Yarrowia lipolytica: one gene and its partners. The protein of the gene in region 1 purifies or fractionates together with the protein of each later gene. This does not show direct contact. Links are inferred from orthologs where the notes say so. Each region holds a gene or a part of one and is shown on either strand. Other genes may lie near its edges. The genes, in order: YALI1_A04022g, YALI1_B20589g, YALI1_F25254g and YALI1_E00533g.

Region 1 (7,707 bases):
TGCCTCATATCCACACCTTCCCATTAGCCACTGGGCCATTCAAAGTTCTGAGGTGGTTTGACTTTGACTTGAAAAAAAAATAACAAAAAAAGTTCATTGGCCCCAACCTTGATCCAACTTTTCACCGACGTTTTTCACCATTCTAAATCCGTCCACTGTACGTACAAAACAATACTTGATGTTTGATGGGATAATGTTGGGTATAGGTGCGAAAATACCCGTACAGAACTGTACTCATACTGTCAAAATTCTCCCAAATTCACACCTACTGATGGAATCACGAATCCGCCGGCCAACCTAAGACAACTCCGGCTCTCTCGACCCCGGTTCGTGTAACTCTCAGTCTGCGGACTCCGCCATAGCCACTGCCTTGTGCGCGCCTTGTGAGCGAGCGGTGACACGGAAAACGCTCGCACGATCCACCTGGCGATCGAAACCTTGTAACTTGCGAGAAACGGGAGCGGCACTGGTCTCTAACGGCCGAGGAATTGGATATATGGCACGGATAGCCACAAACCAGCCGGAAAAGAAGGGAAAACGAGTATCGCACGAGCAGAGCGGAAGACTCTCGTCTTGAAAAAGATCGGCTTCGAGATGGGCCTATTGACCTACCACCATTGACCCGTCCCCGAGCCTACGAGTCTTCGATTCTAGAGGTTCGCCTTGTTCGCATTTGCAGTCTGAGTTCACGAGTGAGACAGGGCCAGAATACGGTCCGGTACGAACACCCGTTGAATAACACGGTGAAATTCCACATGATAAAAGTAGGGGCAAAACCAACTGCAGCCTACAGCCAAGCCGACGCCCAGGAAGTAGGGGTATGTGCACTGAGAGGAGTGCTTATATCGGTGGAAGCATACAAGGATGTGTGCACATGGAAGTGTGCCAGACATGCGTTCTTCAGGCTTCTGCTCTGTGAGTTTACCTGGATAATAAACCTGCAGTTGAAAAGAAATATCAATGGGCAGTTAATTGACTGGTACTTGAGTGTTGATGCGGAAATGAGGGGGTGAATAGATTCTCAATGTGTGGATTCGCACTATCAATGACAAGAATCTGTCCTGTTCCACCGCCTCTGTACCGCTTCCACTGAACCAACCCACTAAATCAACCTCGGTTGCTTGCGTCTCTCAAGTTAGCACACATTATCCAGGGCCACAGGGAAGAGCTGTATAGTTTACGCTGTACGACTGGGGTATGAGTTGGTATCGTACTTGGATGTAACACAACTGACGGCTTTCAGGGACCGTGAAGATCAATACCTCGGCGGTTGTTGTCTGCGACATACGCATCCATTGAGAAGTTGGAAATACGTTTTGAAAACCGTTTTCCGGGGGTTCTTTCACCGTATATTCGGTTTGCCACTCTCGCTTTCGATGCACGCTTTCACGTTGGGCTTACAGAGACCGTCAGGACCAATGTCGATCTTTTCCCACACACTCAACCTTGGGACTTCACAGTCAGGCACAGATCGTGCCCGCAACTAGTCGCAAGACAGGTTCCTTCTAGTGTAATGGTCTTTCTAACACCATCAACGGTTTTCTAGCTGCAAGAGAATCAGCTACAAGAGAATCAGCTACACCCGCGTCATGAAAAAACCACCACCCAAACCTCACTTGGATTTCCTCTTTAGTATAGACTTTGAAATAGCGTTGCTGAGACCAACCAGTAACTGAGCTACGAGTTAGATATTATTCATACTGAACAAGTAATAAATGATTCTCCCAAGTATGGTCGATGAATGTACGTACTGAGAAGCAGCCAACTCACAAAGTCGCATTACATACACACAAAGTCGCAATCAAAACACACATTTCTTCCTGTACCGAACCTGTACAATAGGAATACTGTATCCACCCAACAAAATCTCTTTGTCGTCTTTTCACGCTTTCTGAGACAGTAGATTTCAGGCCACCGCTATCAGGCATGCAAATCAACCATAACCGTAACCTACTTGGCCACAGAAGGCTCAGGTAACGGTGTCGATGGAGGGTTTTCAGGCAATATAAACCCGAGGGGACCCTTCTCCTCGGCTCCCCAAGCCTTCTTCACCCTAGTCATTCTCTTACCCCCTTTTTTTACTTCACCCTATACCCTCTTTAATCATGCTCTTCCTCAAGACCATTGCTCTGGCTGCCACTGCCGTTCTCGCCCAGGTGTACGAGCCCACCTCTGATATCCACTTTTACGCCCAGTCTCAGGACAATGTGGCTCCCTGGTCCCAGTCTCTTCTGACCGTCCAGGACTCTACTCTCGTGGCTGTCACCACCCTGACCCCCAACGATACCACCTCTGCCTTCGACACCCACGATGACAACTTCATTGCTCGAAACGGCAAGTTCCTCGCTGCTACCGCCAACAACGGCCTGGTGCTGTCCGACTCTGCTCCCACCCGGCAGCTCAAGTGGGTCTCTGGCTCTCTCAACGTTGTTGACAACGGCAAGACCTCTCAGCTGGTTGCCTGCCCCTCCACTGCCAACAACACCTGGGTTATCACTCTCAACTCCAACTGTACCAAGGGTTTCCGAGTCGCTGTCAAGCCCCGAACCATCGCCAAGAACACCAACACCTTCTCTCAGATCCCCGTCAACATCACCCACTCTTCCTCCAACATCACTGGCCCCGTGTCCATCGCTAAGCCCGAGCCCGCCAAGGAGGACGATAAGCACAACGGAGCCATGACCAACAGCGCTGGCGCTGTGGTTGTTGCCGTTGCTCTTGTTGCCGTTCTTTTCTAAGTGACGACCGGATCGTTTCAAATCACATTTTGTCGTTTCTGGCTTCAGAACAGACACACACCACCAATGACTTCGCCTCAGATCGCAGTTTTTCTGCTCCCTTAAAACATCAAAAGATCAGATTCCACATCAGATCATTCAGATTCATGTATATTTATCATTCAATGCAGGCAGGTTATAAGCAGGACGATAGTAGACAGTAGTAGACAGTGGACTGGTTGGTACAAGTATCAGTCCACTGATCCATATGTAATCCCACTAAAAGGGGACTTTGCAAGACGTGGTAAGCGCAAGGCAGCCATGTCGACGTCACCTCGACATGGAAAAGTCCTCATATCTAGACCATTACGATCAGAAAGTCCATATATCTGTATACATTTGGAATCAGCATCAACTTTCGAGTTGAGTGATGAACTTTTTATCACCACTTCTCTTCAAAGCCACGATAGTATGGTCTGTATCGTACAATGTACTTGCGACCACTCTCTGATGCTGTGTATAATCCAAGAGATAACACCAGAAATACAAATGTGTCGACAAAATCTGCAATACTAGCCTATCTATATATTCTTTTTCTGATTTTATTCCACGATCAATCCCAACTATTGACCCCAATAATCTCATCTAATTACTTGTACTCTAATTACTTCCGCCAACCATCCATGTCTCCCAACATCATGACTCACGCGATGAGAATTTGACTATTTCTGCGACAATAATTCGGGTGGCGTTATATATATAGAGGGCGCACCGGCATATATTTTTTTCCTGCCACCTCCCCAGTACAATAGTTTATGTGAGGAGCCTGCTGTACCTGTGCTTCTGGTAAAAGCAAGGAGGCTGACTAACGTACTGAAATGTACGGTGACAGACTGAGATGTTCCAAACTCTATAGTGAAAATATGGCCTTCTTGTGATGCGTCATACTACGAGGCTACCCTACGACACACGCAAAATGACTGATTTCGAAGACGCTACGCCTGATGTGGTGATTGGAGGCGACATTGTGGCCGAGAGCCAGTATTACGAGGAGGAGGACGAGGACGACAACATTGTTGAGGAGACTTCCGAGGTCAAGAAGACCGTCAAGTTTGCCGATGATGGCCTCACAGATGAGGAGCGACGAAAGAAGGAGTTTGAGGAGGGAGGAGGGCTCCCCGAGCAGCCTAGCGACCCCGATTTCACCAACATGACCGGTGTTTCGCCCGAGATTATTGGCCGACAGGCCACCATCAACATTGGTACTATTGGTCATGTTGCTCACGGAAAGTCCACTGTGGTCAAGGCCATCTCTGGAGTGCAGACTGTGCGATTCAAGAACGAGCTGGAGCGAAACATTACCATCCGACTGGGATACGCCAACGCCAAGATCTACCGATGCGAAAACAAGGACTGCAAGCGACCCGGCAACTACAGATCGTTCCGATCGGACCGAGAAATCCACCCCAAGTGTGAGCAGCCCGGCTGTGACGGCCGAATGGAGCTGTTGCGACACGTGTCTTTTGTTGACTGTCCCGGTCACGACATTCTTATGTCCACCATGTTGTCCGGTGCTGCCGTCATGGACGCCGCCCTTCTGCTGGTTGCCGGAAACGAGCCCTGTCCCCAGCCCCAGACCTCTGAGCATCTGGCCGCCATCGAGATCATGAAGCTGCGACACGTTATTATTCTGCAGAACAAGGTCGACCTGATGCGAGAGGATGCTGCTTTGGAGCACGAGCGATCCATCTCGCGGTTCGTCAAGGGAACCGCCGCCGCAGACGCTCCCATCGTCCCCATTTCCGCTCAGCTCAAGTACAACATTGATGCCGTTAACGAGTTCATTGTCAACCGGGTTCCCGTTCCCGTGCGAGACTTTGCTGCCTCTCCCCGTCTCATTGTCATTCGATCTTTCGACGTTAACCGGCCCGGAGCCGAGATCGACGAGCTCAAGGGAGGTGTTGCTGGAGGATCCATTCTCAACGGTGTCCTGCGACTCGGAGACGAGATTGAGATTCGACCTGGTATTGTCGAGAAGCAAAACAACGGCCAGTTCAAGTGCAAGGTCATCCGATCCCGAGTCCAGACCCTGTTTGCCGAGAACAATGACCTCAAGTTCGCCGTGCCCGGTGGCCTTATCGGTGTCGGAACTCAGGTCGACCCCACCCTCTGCCGAGCCGATCGACTGGTCGGTCACGTTCTGGGACACAAAAACGCTCTTCCCGAGATCTACATCGAGCTGGAAATCAACTACTTCCTGCTGCGACGACTTCTGGGTGTCAAGACCGAGGACAAGAAGCTCACCAAGGTCGGAAAGCTGGCGCGAGGCGAGGTTCTCATGGTCAACATTGGTTCCACCACTACTGGAGCCCGTGTCATGAACGTCAAGGCCGATATGGCCAAGCTGGTGCTCACCACCCCCGCATGCACTGAGCTCGGCGAAAAGATTGCTCTGTCCCGACGAGTCGAGAAGCACTGGCGACTTATCGGATGGGGTTCCATCAAGGAGGGTTCCACCATTCCCCCCAGCGAGTTTTAAAAGGTATAGATTAACGATTGGAGATTGACGATACAAGGATCCGAGTAAGGAATGAGCGACTGTTATGCTTAACGTACGCTGTGTAGCGATACAGTAAGACCGAAGCTGTAGATGTATCCGAAGCACTAGTGGTATGTACTGTAGTGTACTGGACTGATACTTGTACATACTGCACACCTTGCTGTACTGAAACGCGATAGATAACACCAAGTATTGATTATATGAAGAGCTACTTGCCCGTCTTCGTTGGTTCTCTTGCAATCTGAGGCAAACTAAGTACAAGACCTCTACTGTAGACAGCCTCTGAGGTCTCACTGTATCTACTGATTCACGCCGACACAGGGCAAATCTGGTAAGCGAGAAATATTAGTATCAAAAAGATCAGACAGACTTGAAATTACACTGTAGTGCGCTTTCATTAAACATCAGTATTTTGCTCAGCTTGAATCCTTTAATTGCTTCTCCTCCCTCTGGTTGTGTTCTGAAAGGGGAGGGCATCGGTAGACAGAAATGGCGACGCATAATTGATCCATTCTAGCTGTTGGTAAATCAATCAAAAAGTATTGAAGGGTTCTCACAGTTCCCTTTTAGTCCTGTCAATCAACACTAACCCTCAAACAAATATGAAGGTCTTCTTACTCTACTTCGCCGGCTCCCCGCCGTTGACGAACCCAGCTTCTTGGTTGCTGAAAACGAGCTTTGACTCCGAAAGTTGCTACTGGACTATAGCCATACTCTTGTTACCACTCTTCCAAGCCAACCCTGTTATTGAAAAGGAAGTTGTTGGTGTTGATAATGCCGTCTCTCTCCCCTTCATCCGGCTACTTACCAGAGAGCGAATTGTCAAAGCCAAGAAGCTCCAGATCAGAATCACCGAGTTAGATCAGATCACGTTGACCTTGATGCTGCTAACAAGCGAGATATTGCCGTTCTCAAGGTCACCGGCTCCAATTTCCAGTCTTTTGCCAAGCGCTTTGTCAAGACCATTCCGGTTCTGGTCCAAAACTTCGTGCCTTCTCAGCAAGTTATGGCTTGAGACGGAGATGTTACCCTACGAGATTGAGGGTAAGTCCTTGGTACCGTTGAGGTGGTCGAATTAGTACCATTGGGTTGGTGGAATCGGTCTTCGAGTTCTTCCTCCCTTTAGCCCCAAGTAAATGCTCTACTACGACTACCAGGGTCTGTCAGCCGAGACCGACAAGGAGCTCAACTACCGACGTGGCGAGGGTCTAGAATGGTCAACTTCAGAATTTCGGAGGTGATGTTTGGTTCCCTCAGCCCGCTCTCAAGCTGACCACCCCGTCACTACGGCACCAAGCGTATTAGTAGGATTAGTTCAAGTTATAATATCAGACCTTTTGATTATCCCTCACATTCATCGGACATGAATCCCATCTAATAATGGTGCACATACAATCTATCTGCCTGTATATATAATAATTTAATCAATAAATACATGTATCAGGCCTTTGTAACCAGAGGATACTTTCTAGGCCGACCTCGAGGACGTCTAACGCCGCCCTGGTATCGCCGGTCTCGACGTCTGGACCTTGATTTCGTGGTTCTTTGGGGAGCGGCTTTCTCCACTGTGGTGACCATTCGAGGAATGGGGTAGGCTGTCTCAAACTTGGAGTAGTCTGTTGTGGACTCAACCTCGGAATCGACATCGTCAGCGCCAGCATCACTCTCGCTGTCATCATCCTTCTTGTCCCCTTCGAGTTTCTGCTCCTCCTCTTTGACCCCATCACCGTCCTTGTCATCCACTTCGACGATCCTCATTCCAGGCTCCAAGTCCTCTCTAGTAGGAACCTTTGTGAACGGCCACTCCGGCACCGGAGCCCAAATCAGCTTTGATGGCTCCAACTGCACATAGTTGTTTGCCTTGTACTTGTTGACGACCATATCGATGGCCTCCCAATTCAAGCGAATGGCATACTTGCCTGTCTCAGGGTTTCTGACCAGAAATTCGAGTGACTCAAGAGCAGAAATGACGTCGTCAGGTGTCATGCCGGTGGATTTGGTGATGTCCATGACGGAGAAGTTTGGGATGGTTTTCTTGTCGGCCGCCTTTTCGCGAGCATTGAAAAAGAACCGGCAGATCATCAGCCGCCAGTACTTTCTGTAGCTCAGCAAGCCCAGGTCACTGAGGGGTTTTTCAGGCGTGCCTGGGCGACCTTCGACTCGACTCAGCAGGTACGAAAAGTCAATCAGCAGCTGTCCGTATCCCTTTCGTTGGAAAATGGGGAGAGTCAAAATGCAGGACACGTTGTTGGTGCCTGTGGTTTTGTAGGGTTGTTGTTTTTCCTTGGAGAAATAGCCGACGAAATGGCATCCGAACGCGTCATTTTCGGTCAGAACGTAGAACATGAAGGGCTCCACGTCGTAGTAAAGCGTTTTCGAGTTGAGAAACATTTTGGCCAACAGACACAGGTTCTGACAGTATAGCTGGGC
Region 2 (8,080 bases), on another chromosome or scaffold:
GCAGCCGAGTGTTCAATGGCAGGAGACTCGCTAAGGTCAGCATCGTCCAGAGAAGTAGCAGAAGGCTTAGAAGCTCGTTCCCATCGACCGGGGGAGGTCAGTTTACTGGGTCCCTCCTTGTCTTTCTCTTCGGTATCAGAGGTGCCAGTCACTTCAATTGTGGGGTGAGGCAGAGAGGGGGTGTTCTGGCCCATGGGGGTGCCTTGGTGAACTACAGGTGTAGAAACAGCAGAGGTCTTTCCGACTCGATCTCTAGGACGAGTAGGGGTGTCCACATCCACCGAACCACGCACAGTCTGCTGATGATGGCTTCGAGAAGATCGGGGAGTACCTGTAGTTCCACCATTGGGAGTGCCTGTAGAGTCGGATCGCTTTCTGGCAGGAGAAAGAGCTACGGAAAGAGGAATACCGGGCGAAGAGGTATCATCGAGTTGTCTTCGAGGAGAAGAGTTTCGAGACTTGGTAGCGGATTCAATGGCTTGTTGACGGGCTTCAGCAAGTGCTTTTCTGTTCTGTTCAGAAGAAGAGACGTTTCGCTGGCGGTTCTTCTTATTTCTCTGGGCCAAAAACTTGGTATCAAGGCTGCTAAATACCTTGTCGCCGTTCTCAACCAGATCTCTGAGGAATTTGACGCCGTGTTTACTGTTCATTGTAGTGGCACTCTGAGTCCAGGGTCGAATAATAACACGGGCCAAGTCCGTAAAAATGTAATCGACGTCTTCGTCGGAGATCTTGGACATGACAATGAATCGCTTCAGGTGCTTGATGATTGCCTCAAGAGTATCCACATGAACCTGGGGGAGCTGAGAAAGTGTGGACTCGATCTTTTGAAGTCGAGCTGTAAGACTGTCCCCCTCAGAAGGATTCGAAGAATACGCAGATCGAATAAGGTCATATATGTTGCAGGAAACCACGGAGTCAGGGAGCTCCAGGAGATAGAGTTTGAGAAGAGCAATGATCTCACTGGCCTTGAGACTGGTTAGGCGACGCGCATCCAACTTGGTTACAGTGTCAACAAGCCGCTTCAGCTGGTGGGTTTCCTTGAGAGAAACAGCGTCTGATCTCCAAACCTTTGATAGATCATCATCGACAGAGTAGGAGCTGTCCAGTTGCGTCAACAGCACTTGAGCGAACATGGGTACCTGCTTGGCGTTACCTTCTTCAAATTCAGCGAGGGCCTGTCGTTCCAGCTCGACTCCAAAGAATTCATCACTTACTTTCTCTTCATATCCTCGGTAGGCTGTAGGGTTGGGACTGAAGTGACCCGTCTTGTACCTCTCCACGGTATATCTAATATCCTTGATTGGCTGGATAGATTCGTGGTAAACAGCAACTCTCGCGGCTGTAGTCTGAGTACCTTCCATTCCCTTTGAAATGGCTTCTCCGAAATCCTGCATAACTCTCTTCAAGGCAGCCAGTCGCCCGAGTTCGCATTTCTCAAAGAAAGACAAAACCTCTAGAATATTTTCCTCCAGCTCAAATCGCAGTCGTTCCAGTTGCTCAACCTCCTCCTTGTATCGCTGCTCGAACTGCAGCATTTCTGCTCGGGCTTGAATAGGGTCCGTCTGTGGCTGGTTTCGGAACTTCTTGATGTATCCCGAAAGAGTGGATGTAGTGGATGCAGTGTGAGACTCGGGCTGCAAGTGCGAAGTAGTCTGTTCTGCCTTGGGCTCATGGGAAGCGTCGGTTTTACCCTCAATAATAGCCATGACGGAGTCCTGCCATTGATAGTTAAGAGAAGAAGCGTTTCCGAATCTGTTTCCAACTTGTCCAACTAGTCGAATGTATCCCTGTGCAAGCAGGTCCTGTCCAAACTTCTCCGCAGCTGCGATGCTGGGCATGTCCATGTTCTTTCTCAGCCACATGACAATCTGGTCGCCAGTCGAAATCCGCTTATAGGTTCCCAGGATGGGCACCTTGAGAGACTTGAGAGGGATCTCTTTGAGCATGTCGGTAAAGATCATCTTGAGAGCAGCCTCCGAATATGTCTCACCTCCCAATTGAGTCTCCTTAGAGCCACCATCAAATTCGGCAGCAGAAGCAGAGCTAGAGGGAGGAGTGGAAGCGGCTGTAGAACCTGGAATTGACTCACTACCGTCAGTCTTGGGTGATTGTGGTAGAGTAGGGAACGCGACATTGCTCTCTTGGGTCAGGTCTTCCATCGCAGCACACTTGCTGAAGAAGGATCTCTGCAAAGATTTGGTCGTGGCCAGCTGCTTCTCATAGGACCGTTGACGAACATGGTACGTATCCCAGGCTGTGGTTACACGCAGCTTGTGTTCTTCAGACCATTGCGCAAATGGAGACCGCACGTTCTTATCAAGAGCTGAAGCCACCCGATAATGAGCATATCCCTCCTCGGACATGTCCAGAATCATTCCTTCGTATGCCTGCTTCAGAGTGGCTCCCTCGTCACGTCCAAACCCCACCTTTGAGGCGTAGTGTGAGCTTCGAACGCTCTGAAGGCGTTGTCCATATCCCTCCTCAATCGTGATTCGAGACGACACTAAGTTAAGTACCTCCTGGTTCTCCTGGATGCCCTGCTGGAGCTTGTCGTAGACGGTTTGTACACCGCCAATGTAGTCCTTTGTCCAAAACGAATCTTGGAATGACATGGTGGGCGTGTTGCGTGTGATGGTCAAAGTGCTGTGCTGTGTATCGTCGCTACAGTAGACCCATACCTTGCCTTAATGCTACTGTACTGTAGCGATGCATACCAACAGGGAGGGTAAACCTAACCCAAGGAGGCTTGTCACGTGAGATATGAATAAATAGATATCAACCAATATAGAACTGCTGTCACGTGACGCGTCTATTAATCCGACTACTTTCCATCTCGTCAGCGGCTCATAGCAATGGGTGCAGCCTTCATGGTTCTTTCTTCTAATCAGTAGTAGATTCGCCATGCTTACACTCATACTTTGAAACTACAGTAAATACACGCCTACAATGCATGTTTGGACCATTCCTCTGTTTCAGCCTGACAAGGCATAAAGTCAAGAGACATATCTGCTAATAATAAATTGCATGTCGATTTGATCAATGGTGTGCAAGCGTGACCGGCTCCGGAAAGCTATACAAGTATGACTCCCACACAATGATTGGGTGTGGGTAGAATAGGGGGTTGGGAGGGCGGTCCTTGCTCCCCTTCACAGTGGTATCCGTACTGCGCCTTTCGTGACACCGAATGAACAACAAAAAAAATTGGGCACATGCTCTACACGTCAGAGAGTCAGACAGTGGCTAACAAGTATACCTGATTGGTGTCAGATTGATCACAAAATGCCTGGGGTTCCGAACTGTCCATCCAGAGAGTGAGCGACTCGTACTGGTAATTAGTACAGTACATTATCTAAGCACTTAGAGGTGATCAGGAGAGTAGAGTCGAGGCAAAGGACATGAATCTAGTATATAAATAAAAGAAGTTGGAAGATAATGGTAAAGCACTTGATCTGGTAACTACTCCATATGAAGTATGTACATCCCGGTCAGAGCAATTACAGGCAGTGAACTCCAAAAAAAACAACCATAAGCAGGAAGGCAGGTCCATAGGGACCAAAACATACAAAAAAATTTGTCTCAGTTAGTTACACTAGCATTTTGACCACAACAAAAGTAGAATGGTCGAATTATATTCGCTACTCATTGAATAAAACCCATATGACTCTGTCCTTCTACTTCTACGGTATCCTGCCAAAACTTTATTCGCAAAAATTGAGACTAAAACCCAAACCCCCATGCTCCGATGCGTTTTTCAAACCGAAAGACTGGAACCACTATCCAGGTAATACAACTAACCGTCAATGCCCCCCAAGAAGAAGAACGCCAAACCCCAAAAGTCGGCCATCGACAAGGACTTCCGTCTACAGGCAGTTATTCTCGCAGATTCCTATCAGGCTCGTTTCCAACCCCTCACCAAGGACTATCCTCGATGCCTGCTTCCTCTAGCCAACACTCCTCTGTTGGAATACACCTTTGAGTTCCTGGCCAAGGCGGGTGTCTGTGAGGTTTTCCTCATGTGCTGTTCGCATGCTGACAAGATTGAGGAGTACATCAAGACATCCAAGTGGTCTGACTCGCATTCGCCATTTGAGATCCACACCAAGAAGCTGACCGAAAGTATGTCTGTTGGAGATGCCATGCGAGATCTCGATGGAACCGGCTCCATCACCTCCGACTTTCTGCTTGTCTCTGGTGACGTAGTCTCCAACATCGATTTCACTCCTGTTCTGGAGCAGCATCTCCAGCGAAAGCAGGATGACAAGAACGCAATGATGACCATGGTTCTGCGACAGGCCGATGCCTTCCACCGAACCCGTTCCCGAATTGAACCAGGTCTGTTTGTGCTAAATGACAAGACCTCTGAGTGTCTGCGATACGAGGAGCTTTCTCTCAACAACCCCACTGGGTCCATTGATCTGGACGGAGAGCTGCTCAATGACGATGCCACTCTGTCTATTCGAAATGATCTCATTGATTGCCACATTGATCTGTGTTCCATCGACGTGCTGGCCCAGTTCACCGAGAACTTCGACTACTCTACCCTGCGATCCGACTTTGTCAAGAACATCCTGACCTCAGAGATTCTCGGTAAGAAGATCTACGCCCACATTGTCACCGATGCTTACGCTGCTCGAGTGAGATCACTGCAGACCTACTCTGCTGTCACAAAGGATATCGTGTCACGGTACTCTTACCCTGTCGTTCCTGACTCTAACCTCATGGATGACCAGACATTCAGCTACCAAATGGGCCACATTTATAAGGAGAAGGGTGTTGTGTTGGCTCAGTCGTGTGTCATCGGATCGAGATCATTGGTGGGAAGAGGAACCAGCGTGGGAGAGCGATCGATGGTTAAGGATACTGTTATTGGACGTGACTGTAAGATTTCCACTAATGTGAACTTGGTGGACTCCTTCATTTGGAGCAATGTTATCATTGAGGACGATGTTACTGTCAACGGTGGTCTTGTTGCGGATGGAGCCATTCTGAAGAAGGGCTGCAGCGTTGGACCTGGCTCTATTATTGGTCATGGCGTCACTGTGGAGGAAGGACAGAAAATCGAGGGCACGTATCTCGTTCTGGACGCTGGCGAGAGTATTCCATTCGACGCTATTGACGACGATGACAGCGATTTCGACACGGACGACGAGTTCAACGCTAACGTCGGCTCTCTGGTTTACAATCTCAAGGAGTTGAACCTTTCTGACACCTCCATCAACGACCACTGCTACGAGGATGACGAAAACATCCGAGCGGTGGCTCCCAAAAAGAAGACGCGACGGCGACTCTCTTCCACAGTTTCTAACGTTTCAGATAACCACGAGGACGAGTTCCAGAAGGAGGCTATCGCTTCTCTTGACCGAGCTTTCCAGGACAACCACGAGATTGATATCGCTGCTCTGGAACTTGGTACTCTTCGAATGTCTTCCAACGTGCCCTATGAGGAGGTTCGAGCTGCATCTGTCAAGGCCATTAACGGCTACATCACTCGAGTTCTCAATATGGGTGTCACCGACGACCACAAGGTGCCCACCCAGAAGGTGTGGGGCAAGTGGGCCGAGCTGTTTGAGAAGCAGGTGTTTGAACCTGCCGACCAGATCGATTTGCTCAACATTTTGCTCAAAGACTGTTCTCGTCGTCCTGTTGGCAACTACATTCTATTTGCTGCAGTGCAGAGTCTGTATGACGCTGATGTTCTCGACGAGCATGTCATTGTGCGATGGTGGCACCAGCAGCCCGAGGATGTGTCTCCTGAGATTGCCAGTGTGCGAACTCTGCTTGGTAAGTGGGTTACGTGGTTGGAGGAGGCCGAGTCCGAGTCTGAGGAGGAGGATGAGTCCGATTAGATCTTACAGCGCATGTGTATATATGAATAGACGGTTAGATATGGTACCCGAAATCCAAGTACCGACACTACTTTAGCGATGAAGGAGTGTCTGACAAGTGTCTCAGATCCATTATGAGACATGTGATGAATGTGAGCGGGAATGTGCATGTCCCTTGTATGACACTGTATGAAAACGCACCTACTTACTAATGATTTGAAGCCGTTATTTTAAATCTCGTAATGGGTAGATCTGAGCGTCGGGCTAACACGAAACAGGGTTCCATTACAAGTAGTTATGATACCAGTAGAAGTGTATTTGGCCGTTTGAGGTCCAACCCCTCAGGGCTTGGGAAAGCGTCATTGGGTTCTTCCAGGTGCATCCACACTGTCTCCGCATCCCATGGATACAGCGAGACATTCCGAAATGCACAATCCTCGCCCTACATTTTCGGTTTCAGATGTGGTAGAGTCGCCAGATCCACGAGCCTCGGATAGCATGAAAAGTTGAGATTATCTGAGACCAGCAGAACATGTGTGCATCTACATGTGTCTATTTTTAGACATTTTTTTTCGGTGTGAGATCATCCACCATGGGTCGCTGAGGACTAATATAACAGGATCTGTTGACACTCTCCCAAATGAGCAGGCGATTGCAGGTATGAGTACTAACATAAGTACATTTCTCTATACAAATACGAGTACTGTACGTGACTTTCATAATCGTACAGTAGGATCTGAAATGCTGGCTCTCTCCAACACGTCACAGGACAAGACGTTTAATGCAATTAAACCTTCGAGGGCACAGTTATCCGCCGCTACTGTGTGTTAGTGTGGAGCGATATATATGTAACTAGCTGGAAGTGGTTGCGCAGGTACCCCCACATTCATCTAATCAACAGTAGCAAACCTCTCTGCTGTACATTGTTCATAGTCTCACGGAAAGACCTCGCTAAGTAACCTTTCTACTTTACTTATACTTGAACAAGTGCCGTACTTATAGAGTTTACTCCCAAAGTTCTGACTGGAGCTTGTTCCCCTGGTTCCCCTGCAATTATGCAGCGTGACGTGCAAGAGATGTGTGCGTGGGCCAGAGGAGGTTTCTGAATGGCTTTGGGTGCTTAAACGACAACAGTGATGCTGAAACGATACCTAAATGCCCCTTCATGCGCCGACTACTGTGATTTTGGTAATAGTGGCAGTTTAGCATCCTTCTATTGTTTGCGGCGTATACATTTGACGTCTGACTTTAGATTAGCGAGAAAGTACCTACCACCATACATCCATATAGATAATAGCAGGGAAATTACGGGAGATTGGTTTGTTGGGTGAGTTCACGAGGTAGCCCAGTGGCTATACGAGTTTCCCCGAATGATTTGCATCCGACAAAAATGGTTCCGATTATTGACTGACGTCACAGACACTAACTCTCTAAACGGTGCCACTCTCACCTCCAACTTCAAGCAGTCACTTCATGCTTCAAGGCTCAACTCTAAAATGGTGAAACTCAAACCACAACCAAGTGCTGCATGCCAGTGCGACCTGTCTAAACACTGAACTGACTGGTCGACACATTTGACGACGCAACATTTTGTATCGGTCGGACCAAAACACACAAGTGAGTATTCCTTTTGAGATGCAATCCCCACGCAACCACGGCTAACCCAGTGTTTGTATGGCCCTCGACCACTCGCAATAAGGCGAAGTACACGGGGTACGGCCCACCAAACTACTCTCGCGAAAGGCTCAATTCGAATGGCTTTTCCGAGTCATATTCCACTACCCCGTCGTCGGTTTCGCTTAATACTGACTACCGACAGCATCTGGGCTTCACCTCCTCGCGTTATCGCAGTGGTGGCAACGACTGCTGCTCCAGCGACCAGGGATGTGACCATGACAGAGAAGATGAGAGTCCAGGTGGCGGACGAGATTCCGGAGGAGGAAACGGGGAAAATGGAGGAGGGAATGATCAGGGAGACAACAACAAGCACAGCCGATTACCTCCACTGCCATCTATTGACGGATATGGACCCTTGGTGCCTATTGTGCCGCAATTCTTCCACAGCAACAGCTTCTACCGATCAGTGAAACTGTCGACCGGTCAACCCGTGCTTGTCACTGTGTCTGCCGAAGGAACGCTCGAAGACCTTATTCGGGTTTCGTATGAGTGGCAACTACTAAGGGGAGATGTGGAGGAAGAGAAGGCGCAGACGGAGCCAACGACAGATGGAGGAGAGGCAACGAGATCGGACA
Region 3 (9,269 bases), on another chromosome or scaffold:
TCTTGTGACTTGCAATTTCCAAGGTCAGGCTGAGGTGTTGATATGCGTCTACGGGCGATATTTTATTTGCTTCATGCGGGCACACCAGCCCGTTGGGATCGATAGCCGACGCCTCCAAAGACAGCAGACCTGGGAGTGGCTAGTGACTCATCCTCCGCGTGGTTACAAGGCCCGCTTAACTTTTTGTATTTTGTATTTCTAGGGCATCGCCAAAAGACACACCCACATAAAGAGCCAAACTTAGGACTTTAGAGTTATCGAGATGAGGGGTGCAGGTCTTGCTTTAATAAGGCATATTCTGGAGGGCGCAGCGATATAGGGGCCGGTATCGGGGAGGGAGGAGGAGGGAGCTGTGGAGGGGGTTACACACACAATTCCCGGTTGAAAAGCCATCAAGAAGGCCTACAGACCTTCCTCTTCAACAAGACTCCTTTGTCAACCCCCTCCCTTTGTCTCTTTCACGAGATTCACTAAAAAATTGCTACCAGTAGCGCCAATCGTGTTTGCTCCGGGGACGGACACCGCAATTGAACCTTGTCATGTGGGTAAAAAAGAAAACTCAACTGGATGCGTACAATAAAGAAACAAGTGCATTCTCAGGAAGCGTGATTGGTCCCTTGGGCCGTCTGGCGAATGTTCCAGACACTTGGCCGCTGTCAAGCATATCTTCCTCAGCCGTTTCCAACGGCATGACAGCCCCGTCGCTCTCCGATCGCTTGCTTCATTGTCCTATAGTGCTCGTACAAGTACAAGTACATACTGTACTTTTATTCGGTTTCATGTTCTGTCTTACACATCATCATCTTTAACTGTATTGTGACGACGCTGTATCGACCACCATTCTGATGTTTGGGTACAACTGGATCCTCTGTTATAGATGCGCCTTGTCAGTAAAACGCCGTGCTACGGCTGCATTGGTATCGATATACGCACCGTACCGTACAGACGGCGATGTTTCAGGGTCACAGCTGCTGTAGGGTATCTACAATGTGTGCCGTCTCTTGAAGAAGATGCTCGCTCTGAGGGACGCCATCCAGAACAACCACCTCTTACTCGGACCATGCCAGAGTTTGAGTGCTCCCACTGAATCAAACTGTGGAACGTGAATAACTCAGCGGCGCTAAATGTGTGGGGTGATCACAACTGGACTACAACTAGTCACAGAAGTGCAACAGCAGCTAAAGCACCGCTCGAAGCAATGGCTGGTGGATGTGGGGAGGTGGCGAACAGTCTATATCGACTTTTAGACAGAACCAGGTGGTCGAGCAACAAACCACCAGACCTCGGAATCCCAGGCCCGTCAAATATAATTTAGTATTCAGTTGGTCCACGTCTGACATGCTCAACTCAACCTTCTACCGAGGCCGTTAACCCTTGCGACTCAGACTCAGATTAAACAGGGTCCGAGTGTAATACAGCTCCGAGTCCCGATGAGAGAATTATCCAGAGCGCGCAGCGTGTTCCATGGGGATGAATTCCGACCAATTCCGACAGCAAACACGGACTCAAGTTAGTAGTGGCTATCATCTGACGGAATGTAGCTGCCTGTGTATATACTGGTACTACTTTTTAGCCCCTTTTGCAACACTTCCGACGGAACTACCACCGTTATAGACGGTGCAACAAGACTCCTGCCCCCACTCCATTATCTCCGCTCCGCTAGATTGTCCATTTAACCGCACAGCTGACGGGCATAACTGAGCATCGACAACGTGGATCATCTGCTAGACCGAGTAACGCGAGAGAAATGGTAAATTTAGGAGCTGAAGGAGGTCAGGAGACGTATTCAAGCAACCATCGGGTAAACATTGAGTAAATATTTGGCTAAAAAATGTCCCATGTTCCAGCGTTGTATCTACCAGTACACTGTACTTGTACATGACTCATGGTAAAGCTGTCACAACCTGACAAATCAAGCAGACTGCTCATCCCCATGTGGGAGCATCCATCCTTGCATACTGGCCACTTCTTTGTCAACAGCTATTTCGGTTTAATATGGGGTTCAGAATCGATTGCCGGCATATGACTGACGAGTTATGTGTAGAATGCCAGTCACATTGGTTGTGCATGGTGTATGGGGGAATGAACAACAGATACAGAATCGTTCCGGTACTTGAATAGACCATCCTTCTGTATGAGACCACGAGTGTCAGTACATACAGTAGCTAATGCAACAGAATATGTGCAGAATATACCTTAGCTTCCTTCCCATACACCTTCTCGGTCAACTACTTGCACTCGTACTCGTACTCGTGCAGTAGTAGCTCAAGCTGTGATATAGCCAGCGAACTACGGCTGTTAGTTCGAATATCGTAGAGCGCAGAATGACTCTCAAAACAGCACAATCTACAGTACAGCCCCGAGCCACTTGCATGTATTTGCTCGTGGTCATACACACATCATGCCACTTCCCCTCAGATGCATGAGTGTACCTTCCACTACAATACTTGTAGCACAAGAACCATATGTCACCAGAGCATACACGGAGATGGAGTGTCGGAGAGATGGACGTCTTTATTCATCAAATCTGAAGTACAGGTACTTTTATTGACACTTCAAGAATCAAAAGTTTAGGAGCTTGAAAGGCTCCCATTTACTCTTCAGCGTGTCCCTCCAACATATCCAGCTCATTATACAATGAAAGGGAGCGTAGTAAGGGACAAGGGTTTCCTCCTTCGTTGTATGCACACAAGCTGTAGTGGATTTGGTATCTCGTTAAACCGCCACCGTCCTTACATGAGTGCGAACAGTATCATTTCTCTTACCAAGAGATGGCCAAGAGAGGACACTTTATACGCTCGACTTTTGGAGCTATTTGAGAACAGCGCGAGGTATCCATCAAACATGATCTCTTCGTCAGTAACATTGTACAGTTACACAGCATTGAGAGAGTAAGGCCCAGCAATCAGTGTTGCTACAAAACGCCAGGGAAGATGAAGAGACACTTCAGACTTTTGAGCATCATGGCACAAGAGTACTCGTAGTACAGTACCAGTTAGGTCGAAAGCCTGAAAATAGCTACATTACTGATATATCAATGCACTCGAAAAAGCGGTTGCAGGTTCCTTTCGTCCATTTTGGGTCCCATATACTCTCCGTGAACTACAGTATGTACGATGTACTCGAGGACTGGTCCATCGAACCTACAGATACCGCGATGGTACGATACAGTTCTTTTATTGGTAGATATAGATGACATTTGGAACCCGGTGTGCTTATACAGCAGTTCTACAACTCCTACAACGGAGCCGACAGCTCCACAGAGTCTCTGACCTCGCTCTACACAACTAATGCTCTAACACAGGCCCGAAGGTATATCAGAGAAGCCGCGGTTCAAGGTAACAGGGAGCATATCACCGGGATTACCGGGGAAATCTGAAGACCAAAGAGACCAGAGATACACAACAGTCAGGAGGCATGTTAGTTCCACTCCATACAAACTACTGTACATACGTGCACCTACAGTACATTCAAACCTGAGAAAGATCATGAGATATCTGTAAGTGCACAACTTCATTCAAGTCCAGTACTCTTACCAAGATATATCATCACCGTCGTATTAGACACTTTCCAAGTCATGCTCTCCTCCACACCTACTGTACGATACGAGGCTCTGTCTGGTCATGTGACCTTAGTTAAATTGCATATATATACATACAGCACACACATCTTCTTTCCTCGTCTCCCAACTACAAAACTCTAACTAACTAAACACCACTGTAAAAAAATTAGGAGCTAATGGTAGGTAGTGGATCTGATGATGACGTGATAATGCGAGGAGAAATGGGACAGCTTTATAGAATTCTACTTCCAAAAACTGAATACAAGCACCACGCCCTGTCGCAGCCCTCTACTTCTGCCCCTCGTCACAACCACAATCCCTTCTTTTTGCCTAACCCTCAAAGTTACCCTACCTGCAAGTCTCACACGTCTGCTGAAAAATTTCTAGTTACACCTACCAAGCAACCACACCACCAATATGGCTCCCCATCAGAACGTCCGTCCCGAGACGGTCTTGAAGCGAACCGACGAGCTTATTGCCGTGGGCCAGCAGGATGCTGCTCTGGAGCTTCTCCACGAGACTGTGTCTGCCCGAAAGGCCCGAACCACTTCTGTGGCTACTCTGGAGCCCATCGTGGCTCGATTTGTGCAACTTTCCGTTGACCTGCGCAAGGGCAAAATCATTAAGGATGGTCTTCACCAGTACAAGAAGATCGTGCAGTCCACCAACGTGAACGCCATTGAGCCTGTTATCAAGCAGTTTCTGTCTCTGGCCGAGCAGCGAGTTACTGATGCTCAGGCCCAGGCTGACAAGATTGCCGACGAGGAGGAGGCTGACGATCTGGAGGCCGAGGAGACGCCTGAAGACCTGCTTCTGGCCACGGTGTCCTCCGAGGACACCAAGGACCGAACTGACCGACGGGTCGTAACCCCCTGGCTCAAATTCCTGTGGGAGGCCTACCGAAGCGTGCTGGACGTTCTGCGAAACAACAGCAAGCTGGAGGTCATCTACCAGCAGGTGGTCGAGCAGGCCTTCAACTTCTGTCTGAAGTTTTCTAGAAAGACCGAGTTCCGACGACTCTGTGAGCTTCTGCGATCCCATCTGCAGACCACTGCCCAGAAAGGCCCCAACGCTCCCCCCGTGACCGCAACTTCTGTCGATCTGTCTGATGCTGACACTCTGCAGCGGTACCTTGACACCCGGTTCTCACAGCTCAACGTGGCCGTCAAGCTGGAGTTGTGGCAGGAGGCCTTCCGATCCGTCGAGGATGTGCACACCCTGCTGACAGTTTCCAAGCGACCCGCCAAGCCCCTGATGATGGGTAACTACTACGAGAACCTGGCCCGAATCTTCCTGGTCGCCGGAAACTACCTCTTCCACGCTGCGGCCTGGAACAAGCTCTTCCACCTGCTGTCCCAGTCTCCCCGAGGTGCCATCCCCGTGTCCGAGTACCAGCGAGTCGCCTCTTTTGTGCTTCTGTCTGCCCTCGCCATCCCCCACAACTCCAGCGCCGAGGATCGATACCGAAACACCCGGCTCACTGGTCTGCTCAACCTGCAGCGAACCCCCACTCGAGACGCTCTTCTCAAGTCTGCGCTGTCCCGAAACATTCTGGCTCACGTCAAGCCTGAGATCAAGGCTCTGTACAAGACTCTGGAGGTCGACTTTCACCCTCTGTCTATTCGAGCCAAGCTGACCCCCGTGGTTGGCGCTATCGCTGAGGCCCCCGAGTTCAAGCCCTACTTTGCCCCTCTTTACCAGGTCATTCTCACCCGGCTCTTCCAGCAGCTGTCGCAGGTCTACGAGTCCGTCAAGCTTGACTTTGTCATCCAGTTGGCTACTTTCCCTGCCCCTTTCTCTGCTACCCCTCTGGAGATTGAGCAGTTCATTGTCCGAGCCTGTGCTCAGGGCGAGCTGGCCATTAAGATTGACCACGACCAGCGATCCGTGCTGTTCGAGGAGGTCCGAGCCGCCACAGGCTCTGCTTCTCTGCAGGACACTCCCATTGAAATTGTTCGAACCCAGCTCTCTCGGCTTGGTCGAACTCTCTCTGTTGCTGACCCTCTCAACTCCGCCGAGGCTCGAGAGCAGCAGTACGTGGCTGCTCTCACTACTGCTCAGGACAATGCTGAGCGAGAGCACGCCGAGACTCTGGCTCGACGAGCTGAAATTGAGGCCCGAAAGGCCCAGGCTGAAGCCGAGCGAGCTCAGCGAGAGGAAGAGGAGGCTCGAAAGCGAGCTCAGCGACTTCTGGACGAGGAGCTCGCCGAGAAGGAGCGTCTGGCTGCCGAGCAGCACGCCCGAGAGCTCGAGCGGATCCGAAAGGAGCAGGACGCCATCCGAGAGGAGGAGAAGAAGAAGCTGGCCGAGGAGATCAACGCGAAGGGTATCATCACTATCGATCTCGACAAGCTCGAGGGTCTGGACACCAACGCTCTGCGAAAGATGCAGGTGGACCAGCTGGCCAAGGAGACCAAGGAACTTGGAGACCGACTCCGAGTCACTGCTCGGCGAATCGACCACACTGAGCGAGCCTACCGAATGGAGGAGATCAAGCTGGTGGAGGACGACTTTGTCAAGCAGAAGCAGCGAGACCGAGAGATCTACGATACTCGAATCAAGCTCATCAAGGACACCGCCAAGGCCGAGCACGACGCCAAGGTCGAGCTGGCCAAGCGTCTGCAGCGAGCCGTTCCCTTCTACAAGTCTTTCCGAGACGATATCCGTGTCAAGCGAGAGGCTGAGTTTACTCGTCTTCGAGAGGAGGCCGTCAAGAATCTCGCCGAGGCTAAGGCTGCTCGAATCGAGGAGGTCAAGGCCAAGCGAATCGCTGACGCCAAACGAGCTGAGGAAGAGGCCAAGGCTGCCGCTGAGGCAGAGGCCAAGGCTGCTGCTGAGGCGGAAGCCAAGGCCAAGGCCGAGCAGGAGATGCGAGAGAAGCTGCTGGCAGAGAAGAAGGCCCGAGAGGAGGCCAACGCACGAGCCGACGCCGCCTACGAGAAGCAGCGACAGAAGGAGGCCGAGTTGGAGGCCAAGCTGGAAGCCAAGCGAGCCGGCTTCTCCGGAGCTGGTCGACAGGCCCCTCCCAGCGGTGGCTACGTTCCTCCTTCGCGACGAGAGGGTGGATACGTCCCCCCCAGCCGACGAGGAGATGCTGGAGCCGCTCCTGGAGCTGGCTCTGGAGGTTACACTCCTCCTAGCCGACGAGAAGGTGGCGGAGGCGGATATGTTCCCCCCAGCCGACGAGAAGGTGGCGGAGGAGGCTACGTTCCTCCTTCTCGACGTGAGGGTGGATCTGGCGCTGGATCTGGAGGCCGATATATTCCTCCTTCCCAGCGAAACTAAAATTAAAGGTGATTGGTATAGATTAACAACTGATTTGTTGAGATACGAACAAGTAGAACAAGTAGAACAAGTGGCGTTTGTGAAAGTACTGTATGAGTACACATACTTGTAACGGTACATACTGTACTACTGTAGTAGAGTAGAGTGGGAGCTGTGCTCCAGATAGATTGCAAATGCAATCAGAAGGTGGGTTAAACAACCATACAAGTAAACTTTCATTGAGATGCTTGGTACACATGAGAGGGGCGAGGCATGTTGAATACGAAAGCAAGCTCGACAGAGTGGGCTATCTTATCTGAATCAAATGGAACGATCGAGAGGTGACATGTCCTATATTACTACAGTACAAGTAGAGAGTACTTGTAGTTGGATATGATTATGGCACTGTGTTATAAAAACGCCACTCTCGGGGACAGCAACCTTCAGAGGCTTGCTTTTGGGCGTTGAGAATGGACTTTCACGGACATTGTCTGCAGCGCCAAGTGGCTCCGTTTTCTTATCTTGCAGTTGATTGCACGAGGGTTTAAACCACGGCACGCAAAGTTCAGCCGCCTGCTTGACTTGACGAGAGGTAACCTGGTGAAAGGCGCTTGTAGAAAGCGGCTGAAACTGCCCACCCGAGCCGTCCAACCGAGCCACTACTTTGGCTGAAAACGAAATTGACTCGCAGTGCGACGTAAAAACTGGAGTATGGTGCTGAAACAGAACTCATCCACAACCAAAACGATCACAATTGCTCGCCTACTTGTACTGGTACGTTCCCTATCTTTTTCCTCTCGTAATGTGACCGTTTTGGGATTTAGTTTACACCAAGGCCAAAAGTTTGATAAGGAATGAGAGCGAATCTCAAAGGTGACGTAGATGTTGGAGCCTCGAAGCCGTGGTCCCTGCAACCCTCTACTTGATTTGCAAAACTTTTTCTGTTTCTAATACGTAAAAAGTTTGGAATGTCTCCTTATTTCAAATCTTGTGTGCTCGCCGACGAACAAGTCGTCTTTGGATCAATAATGGATGTGACACTGTCTAGTTTTTCCGCCCCGGCTCACTAGTGCTCCGTCTGTTAGTATTCATAATCCGGGTCATCATACGCTATAATACACTAGTTGAGTTTTTTCATCCGCTATTATAGCTCCTCAGACGGGAACTAGTCGGGAGCGGAACGTTCTTCATGTCCCCGGAAACGAAAACTTTGGACATGGTAGAATTACAGTGGGTGGCGCTACATTCTAAGGAGGGGAGGTAATAGTAAACAGACTGGGTGTGATATGTCCGTCTGGTTTTCGGACTAGCCTCTGCGTCATCTCTCATGGCGCAAAGTGCTACTTGTAGTGTAATGCAGAGGGCTTTTTCGGCGGAGTTCACGTATTCACGTACAGTTGTATTCACCGCAGCCAAAAACGGGCTAGTCAAACAGCCTTTAACAACGGCTAAGCTCAAAAGTCCTCGAAGGATGGGTGCAGTCATTGCAGCCCCTGTGTGCAGAAGACGGCTTCTACTCGGGGAGAAGAGAGGTGTAGAGTGGTGTAGATCGTGCCGTGCCAGTCAGCTTGATGACAATGATAATGACCTTCTACCCCACAGGCGGGATTCCGTGTCTGTCTAAAGCCTACCGTGAAGCGGCTAACAAGGCCGCAGAGGCTAATATCGAGTGTCTTTTGGGCTATGGTGAAAAACTAATCCCTGGGCTGCTGTTTGCGACGAACGGCACCTCACGTGAGTTTACACATGATGCTGTCTCATGTGTCGGGATAAGCGCCCCGATGCCGATGGGGGGAAAGCTCTTTGTGAGTAAAGCTTGTAATGCATGGGCCCGGTGCCGTTCAGTACGCATCGAAACGCCCGTAGGTTCATAGCTCCGCGGTTTCGACAAGGCTGGCTTCACTTTAGGCGATAGTTTAACTGGCTCGAAGTCTGAGCTTGCAGCCCTGGCGTAGGTGGAGTGCATGGCTGAGAGAGAAATATACACCTTGTCTGCGCTTGTGATACGTAAAAAATGTATGACCTTATCAGTCGTGTGGAGAGGAGGGTGGGTAGTTGTGCAAGACCCGGATTGGGCGACATTCATTCTTTTTGACCTCGATTCCTTAGCCCAACGGCTGCTGTGGTTCATCTGACAAATGGCTTGGCAGGGTCCGCGTTAATCCGCTTCGGCCAGCACTGTGCAGGACATTTTTCTTGTGTCTGGAATCATTTTCATTGTTTGGTGGTGGAGCATGAACTCTATCAAAAACGATGGTTTGGTATCAGAGTTGCGTTACACTGATTGGCTTACCCTCGAGGTATGGGGATAGAGAATGATACAGCCCTACGAGATGGCGACAAGATATCAGCATGTTTATTTACATGGGGACCACTTCAACAAACGGCACAAGACCAGATTCGCGTTCGCAATCCTCAATTACAATCTCTTGGCGCTTCGCAA
Region 4 (7,393 bases), on another chromosome or scaffold:
TGAATTCCTGTTGCAGCTTTTCGTTGGCGTAGTTGATGCAGAACTGTTCAAACGAGTTCTTCTTGAAGTGCTCGAAACCAAAAATATCCAGTACACCAATGAAGGTCTCGACCTGTTCCTGCACTTTGGGGTCGCACAGGCCGCCATTGAGCTCGCTGACCAGCCAGTCGAACAGTGACGTGTAAATGTGCTTGGACACGGAGTCACGCACCACCAACGACTGCTTGTGAGTCTGGTTGGACACGATCTTGTCGGCTCGCGTCACAATCTGTTTCTTGGTGATCCATTTGGCAAACTGGACAGGGTCAATCTGCAGCAGCTCACAAGCCTTGATAAGAGAGGGCTCGTCGGATGACAGAACCGCGTCCTGACGGGTCTGGCCAATTTCAATGTTACCAATGTGCAGAATACCAGCCAGAATGTTCCACAGGCTCTCTTGCTCGGGTTTGGCGATGCCAATAGTCTCGAGAGACGCACCGGTCAGCTTGAATTCCTCGCTGTCGTCCACGCCTTCAATGGTATCATTACCTCCTTGGTTGAGGTATCGAAAGGCCGGAACACCTCCCTCGACACCTAGAGCCTTGGCAAGCTCGGGAGAGGCACCCTTGACCAGCTGGTAAAAGATGTGGTAGTTTCGCTCTGTGGCAGGCTGGAACACGAGACGAGATCGCTCCAGCAAGAAGGTTCGGATTCGAGCACCCACAATGTCCACGTCCTTGTTGAAGTTGATCTCCAGATATTTGCCGAACCGCGACGAGTTGTCGTTTCGGGTGGTCTTGGCGTTACCAAAGGCCTCCATGATGGGGTTGGTGGCGAGAATCTGCTCCTCGACGTGGGACAGTGAGTCACCTTGTGACACGTCGCGTTTTCGTGGTGCTAGCGGATCCTCCACTGTGGCAAAGTACCGCATAATGTACTTTGCAGACACGGTCTTTCCTGCTCCGGACTCTCCTGACACCACAATGGTCTGGTCCTTCTTGTCTCGCAGCATGCATCGGTAGGCGTCCTCGGCAATGGCGAACAGATGGGGCTCAAGCTCACCACGGGTCTTGCCGGCGTAGGCCTGGATAATGTCGGGGGTGTAGAGGTTGTCGACCCGCTGAAAAGGGTTGGTGGCAATAAGCACGATTCCCGAGTAGGTGTAAATGTTGAGCATCTGGTATCGGGTTCGGATCGCGTGCAGCACACTGGGCTCATTGAGATAGGACAGGGAAGTCAAGTCTTCGGTGGACTCCAGAATGGGGGGGTTTCGCAGGGGGAGCTGAGGGACCTCGGCTGACGACTTGAGCACAGATACGGAGGTCTCTACCGACTTTTCCTCGCCGTTCTCCAGTGTCAGGTTGATGGTCACCTTCTCACCATCCGTCTTCTGGTCGACCACCTCGGCACCCACCCATCCTTCTTTTTCGTCTCGGATCCAGCAGCGGCTGTGTTAGCAGTTGTGTAATTAGGGGTTTATCACGAGATTTTGACAGTCGTATGAAACGCCGAAAAAACGCGAAACCAGCTTTTTCGGCGTGGTATTGCCGGTTCATCCTCCCCTTCTCGTCATACTCACATTCCGGGCTCGTAACTGATGGCCATGAGCGCGTCGATCCGTGTGGATAGTGGTGTGGTGGTGTGGTGGTGTGGTGTTTGTGTGTTGAATTAATAAGCCTATTGCACGACGTGTGGACGGGGGAAAACACGTGTGGGCTTGTGTCGTAGGAAGAAGCGCAAAGGAATTTGAACCAAGTGTGGTCGGTAGCGTAGTTGCAAAATGTTACTCAAGATAGATAACACCCGATACTAAACACCCTTCTCCTGTTTGATGTGTTGGAAGGAAAGTCAAACTCTGTGTGCTAGTGCTAACCTGCAAGTAACCGTGCTCAGCGAAACACAAGACAGCAGCAGCAGCAGCAGCAGCAGCTGTCCAGGTGGCACCTAAGCGGGAGCTAATGGCGCCAAATCTAGCATGTTCATTCTAACTCCCCAATTCTGATAGGTGTTTGTTTCATGGAGCGACGCGGTAGGTCCGTTGTGGCAATCTTCAAAGAAATATCTCCAGTAAATAGCCGACTATTGACAATAAAAAAAAAAAATCAGTCACTACTCTGTGCAAACATACAATACAACTCAACTATGTCCGTGTAATTGTTTCTCGCTGGCACGTGTCATTATTATTATTTCCAGTACTTGTCCTCGTGGGCCCCCGTGATTCACCTCCCCCGTATGTACTCGTACCGGTACTACGTGTCCAAAATAATGCGCCCCTGCACACATTCCGAAAGAAGGGGTTGAAACACCTGTGACCGGTAAACGAAGCGAAATTGAAGTGAGAAATGAGTAAATAAAGGCCGCGCTGAAACGGGCGAAATTGAGGGAAATTAATGGGCCCAAAAGACTAGAACAATAGGGCCGACAAGTTGACAGCATACTACTTGTTTAATCGATAACACTCCCTCCTACCGCGTTCACAGCACCTGACGGGACCCCTGAGACTCCCGAAAAACACGCATTCTTGAGCTGCAGTACGCACCGTTAAAATGCGTATGGCTTAAGCTAAAAACAGGGGGCTCAGGGGCTCAACATGTGACATGGTGCCTCTGGTCGATCGCCGAAAACAGAGAAAAACACAGAGCCGTTCTGAGACGGCATGAACAATCATCTGAGACCGTACTGTTATTATTTTAGCCTGTCACCAAGGGCTGGCATGTGAAAAGCTAAACTGTTGCCGGGGTGACACCTTCTACACAACGCGACAGTCTCTAGCATTAGCCTTTTTAGGTCACGTGCCAAATAAACGAAAGAGGACACAAAGGTTAGGGGTCACCTTGGGACTGTTAATTAGTGCTTATTAATCGAAAGAATGAGGTGCTTATTAAGCATGGCCCACTACAGACAAATATGAAATGTCAATTCATGCATAAATTATCGTTGTTATCTAAAACCGTGTCTACTCCGTTCGCTGTTCGCTGAGAGCAGTCTTCTTCTTCTCCAGAACCTCCAAGGAGTGCTGATGAACGTTGTGAAGCACGAGTCCGAGGCCAGCCCAGGCCACACCGGAGAAAACGTATCCGAGAGGGTAGTAGCCGGCAGGCTTGAGTCGGATCTTGTTGGAAAGGAACTTGGTAGCGAATCCTGAGTTAGTATGTGATGTGTGCGAAGATATCTGATAGCATGATTGGTATCTGGTGTGCAGTCCATATCAGAACCGAATTGAAGACGATCTGAGATCACCGCTTGATTCATCATAAGCAATGCAGTTGATCCGTGCCAACAACCACTCCAATTCCAGTCAAGATTGGTCAAACATGTCTAGAACCCTTTGTGTCACTTGCAAGTCGATGGTTAAGACACAAAAACATGTCGTCGAAGCAGCGGAAATTGTCGGTGGACAATCTCGTCGCGCATTGCGATACTCACCAAGACCGGATGCACCGACTAGCGAAGTAAACAGAGCCATTTTTGCGGTATTGGTGTGTGCTCCAGAGATGACTTTGGTGATGCAATATGATTTTGGAGGTTGCAATTTGCGGTGCTGTGATTCGTTGGGAAAGCCGGGTAACTTTAAAATGATCTTGGTAGTTGTCAGTTCGAGTTGTGGTTGCAACATATTTAAACCCCCGAATGAAATCTGGAACCCTAATATATGCAAAAAAATCTAGTCTGATGACTATAACTGGAGATATCATCAAACCACCACAGCTCTCACGCCATGTCAGAACTTACACCCGCTCAGCTTAAGGCACAGAAGAAGGCCGCCAAGGCCGCCAAGCGTGCGGCTTCCAAGGAGGCATCGGGCCAGGCTCCTACTCGAGATCCACGAGAGGCCAAGAAGGAACAGCAACAGGCCGCAGCCAAGGAGGGAGGCTCATCTTCAAACACCGGAAACAACAGCAATAACACACAAGGCGGAAGCAATCAATCGTCCGCCTCTGCATCGTCCAAGGAGGATCGAACCCGGGCTTCCAGACCCGCTTTGTTTGGGCACCTTGAGAAGGCAGGAAAGGTGACTGCAGCGGATGCTGGCAAGGACGTGCATCCCGAGGTGATCACCTTGGCACTCCGGTACTCGTCGTATCAGATTGTGGGCTCTTCTGACCGAGCCCGAACTCTTCTGCAGGCCTTCCAGCGGGTTATTGCTGACTACGAGACTCCCGAGGGAACTACACTGTCTCGAAACCTCACTACACATCTTGGTCACCAGATTGATTTTGTCATTTCTGCACGACCGTTGTCTGTGTCCATGGGTAATGCCATTCGGTGGCTCAAGCAGGAAATTTCTGTGGTGAGCATTGACATGTCCGATCAGGCTGCCAAAGACATGCTGGTGGAGAAGATTGACGAGTACATCAAGGAGAAGATCGATGTGAGTGGATCCGTCATCGTGGAGAGCGCCGTCAACGACATTGCCGACGGTGACACCGTCCTCACTTTTGCACATTCCGAGGTGGTGGAGAACACCTTCATTGCTGCTCACCAGGCCGGTAAGCGGTTCAAGATCATTGTGGTCGACTCCCGACCTCTGCATGAGGGCCGAAAGCTGGCTCGAGATCTGTCTGCCCGGGGCATTGAGTGCATCTACATTCTGGTTTCGGCACTGGCTCATGTTCTGGACGACGTTTCTCGAGTCTTTCTGGGAGCCCATGCCATGCTTTCTAACGGCGCTCTGCTTTCGCGTGTCGGCTCTGCCCTCATCGCCACTGCTGCCAAGCGAAAGAACATCCCCGTGATCGTCCTATGCGAGTCCATGAAGTTCTCTGACCGAGTCCAGCTCGATTCTGTCACTCTCAACGAGCTGGCCTTCCCCGAAATGCTGGCAAACACCTACATCAGTGACAAGAAGAAGCTTCCTGAAGACAAGGCCAAGACCTCGCTCAAGTACCTCAATCTGTGCTACGATCTGACTCCTGCCGCAAATCTCACCAAGATTATCACCGAGCTGGGTCATCTGCCTCCCTCGGCCGTTCCCGTCATCATGCGAGAATACAAGTCCGCTTACACTATGTAGGGGAGGAGGTTAAGAGAGGTATTTGTAAGATAGAGGAACGACAAGGGGGGACTAAAATATAGACAATAAACAGTACGTTAATGGGGTTCGTGTGATATTGATGTATGTACAGTACATACTAAAGGTAGCATATGCAGTTTTTGCCAATGAGTCGTCGTGTCATGACGACACTCGCATAGACCTTTAGACGATTAACGACTTGTAATCCGTGTACAGGTATGTACGGCACCAGTATATATCTACGATATTGCAGCCGTGAGAGATTTATTTGACTTCATATCTGAACAGTTGTAGTTACTGACAGTGTTACTCCCTCGTACCAGTGCCGGTATGTAGTCTTATGAGTATGCACACACACCCGTGTTCGAGACCATGTATTAGCTAAAACAGTGTCTCGGATACACGAGATAAGAACAGTTGTATCACACACAAGACGGGCAAGAGTCGTCTTTACTCCTTAACTAATGCCCTTGTTCTGAAGTTTGAACATACTGTCCACCTACAGGCACGCCTTAGGCAAGAAAATCACTTACACTGTGTCGAATATGTACATTAAATAGAGATGCTAGATGAGGGTTTTGCTGGATCTGTGTTAGTATGTTGAAGATGTGTAGAAATATAGTTGTTTGAATGCAACGAGGAACTGCCTCAAGTCGTATATAAATGTCTGGTCGCTTCTAATAGCTCGAGGTGCTATTTCAGGTAACAGAGGAGGAATTCCGACGGCTTGGCGAAGACTAGAATCCAACATGTCCGTGTCTAGACTTGGGTTGCTTATTCAAGACGCCACTCAAGATTAGAGAATGATTGTCAAAAGAGCATCTTAAATAGAAAAGGATAGAATGAGCAAAGACTTCATTTTTTGTCCAAACGGGCACTTCTGCTCACAAAATAGCTCTCGCCTGTCCCAGTTAGCTCTCCAGCTTCGTTACTCTGTTCAAGAGCAACCATATCATACTCACTTCTCATTCAGCTTGACGCAAAAGGTTCGAATCAAACGGGGGTCAGCCTGGACAGCTCGCATGATTTCGCCCTGGGCTCCGGGAGAACAGTCGAACTTCATGTAGAAGTAGTCGCCGACCACGTAGCTCTTCTGCTGGGCCTTCATGATCTGGGGCAGGGGCTTGAATCGCCAGCACTCAATGAGGCGGACCACGCCTCTGTTGCCGATGATCATTCGGCCGATCTGGGTGACGGCCTGCTTGGCGGCCGCGTGTGCCGGAGTCACCGATGCGATTCCAACGAGTTCGTAGAGCATTTCGAGTCTGTTGTGTAGAGGGGTAGTTGGGATGCGATGACGTCGTGTGAGAGATGAAGGTTGAAAATGTTACTGGATGCTGCAACCTTATTTTGGCACTCTGAACATGGTCGGTCTGTCAGTACAATACGTGAGTAATTAAGAGCACTTTAATATCGAGCCGAAATAGGTAGGTCGGATATATGAACAATAAAGGAAATTTACCTGAGGGGTCTGGTTGCTCTCAAAGTGGATAAAATATATGACTGCGTTCATGTAAGCCAGATGCTGCTAACATTCATCTCTAATTACTGCTCAGGTAAAAGTCACGTGCATTTTTTGCGTTCGGAGCATGTACCAGTATCAAGTATGTACTGTACATACCTGGAAATGACCTGTGGGTGCAACATCTCGGACAAGTACCATACCGGCAGGTATTGTAGCTTGCTCTGAGAGAGTCGCTGTATGTAATATCACTGACTACAGTATTACGGGCAGATGGCGTTTTAACCTGTTTTAACCTGTTTTAACCTGTTTTAACCTACAGTAGGAAGAGCATTGATGGCCTGTCACATTTCTCGAGACCACAGTCCTGGTTAATGATGATTATTTGATGGGGTCTATTGATAAATGGTATCTTGCAAGAGCTATGAGTGCTTCTGGGATTGTTTCCATTTTTGTGCAGCTAACAGACATTAGTTAAATGATATTGATGATGTCCTGGCTTTCAAATTTTACCCAAGTAATCAGCCAACTAAGACACTTACCTAAGTGCCTGGAAAACGGTGATATCTCGAGATACTGTAATAGTACAAGTATTAGGAACGGCGCTGGAGAAAGAAAGAAAAAGTCTACCTCTCCTGTATATCATTTGAGAAGATATGGATTCTCGATCAACCGACACACGTCTGTACTTGTAGAATATCTGTCAACTATTTCTCAGCCACTCGACTACTCGTGTGTACATACTGTAGATGCCTGTTTGTAGCCAAATTTCGTACTGTCCCCTATTCAGACGGTCGCCTGAAAGCTGCTTCCATAGTATCCTCTGATGAAGCACCGAGCCTGCAAGTTGTGCACATAAGTACGCATCAGACCCATGTGCGGCTGAATCATTGGTTGTGTGGGGTGAATTGGACCGTGGTTCCAGTCTAGGGATGGCC

Evidence for each region.
Region 2: the proteins of YALI1_A04022g (region 1) and YALI1_B20589g purify together in Saccharomyces cerevisiae (affinity purification with mass spectrometry; 8 studies listed by BioGRID, with this or other methods). This does not show direct contact. The link is inferred for Yarrowia lipolytica from reciprocal best matches to the Saccharomyces cerevisiae genes GCD11 and GCD6.
Region 3: the proteins of YALI1_A04022g (region 1) and YALI1_F25254g purify together in Saccharomyces cerevisiae (affinity purification with mass spectrometry; 6 studies listed by BioGRID, with this or other methods). This does not show direct contact. The link is inferred for Yarrowia lipolytica from reciprocal best matches to the Saccharomyces cerevisiae genes GCD11 and RPG1.
Region 4: the proteins of YALI1_A04022g (region 1) and YALI1_E00533g purify together in Saccharomyces cerevisiae (affinity purification with mass spectrometry; 5 studies listed by BioGRID, with this or other methods). This does not show direct contact. The link is inferred for Yarrowia lipolytica from reciprocal best matches to the Saccharomyces cerevisiae genes GCD11 and GCD2.

The regions. Positions count from the first base shown.
Region 1 is NC_090770.1:398,560-406,266, forward strand, and holds YALI1_A04022g (uncharacterized protein), read left to right. Parts: upstream 1-3,654; coding exon 3,655-5,256; downstream 5,257-7,707. Other genes in the region: YALI1_A04006g (uncharacterized protein), read left to right, coding at 2,106-2,738; YALI1_A04044g (uncharacterized protein), read left to right, coding at 5,880-5,967, 6,111-6,292; YALI1_A04071g (uncharacterized protein), read right to left, coding at 6,718-7,707. UniProt on the Saccharomyces cerevisiae protein: As a subunit of eukaryotic initiation factor 2 eIF2, involved in the early steps of protein synthesis.
Region 2 is NC_090771.1:2,055,183-2,063,262, forward strand, and holds YALI1_B20589g (uncharacterized protein), read left to right. Parts: upstream 1-3,803; coding exon 3,804-5,849; downstream 5,850-8,080. Other genes in the region: YALI1_B20577g (uncharacterized protein), read right to left, coding at 1-2,615. UniProt on the Saccharomyces cerevisiae protein: Acts as a catalytic component of the translation initiation factor 2B (eIF2B) complex, which catalyzes the exchange of GDP for GTP on eukaryotic initiation factor 2 (eIF2) and is regulated by phosphorylated eIF2.
Region 3 is NC_090775.1:2,521,486-2,530,754, forward strand, and holds YALI1_F25254g (uncharacterized protein), read left to right. Parts: upstream 1-3,979; coding exon 3,980-6,847; downstream 6,848-9,269. Other genes in the region: YALI1_F25289g (uncharacterized protein), read right to left, coding at 7,178-7,488, 7,532-7,559.
Region 4 is NC_090774.1:49,614-57,006, forward strand, and holds YALI1_E00533g (uncharacterized protein), read left to right. Parts: upstream 1-3,697; coding exon 3,698-4,993; downstream 4,994-7,393. Other genes in the region: YALI1_E00510g (uncharacterized protein), read right to left, coding at 1-1,427, 1,559-1,584; YALI1_E00527g (uncharacterized protein), read right to left, coding at 2,936-3,120, 3,406-3,445; YALI1_E00551g (mitochondrial 37S ribosomal protein bS6m), read right to left, coding at 5,559-5,580, 5,956-6,251. UniProt on the Saccharomyces cerevisiae protein: Acts as a component of the translation initiation factor 2B (eIF2B) complex, which catalyzes the exchange of GDP for GTP on the eukaryotic initiation factor 2 (eIF2) complex gamma subunit.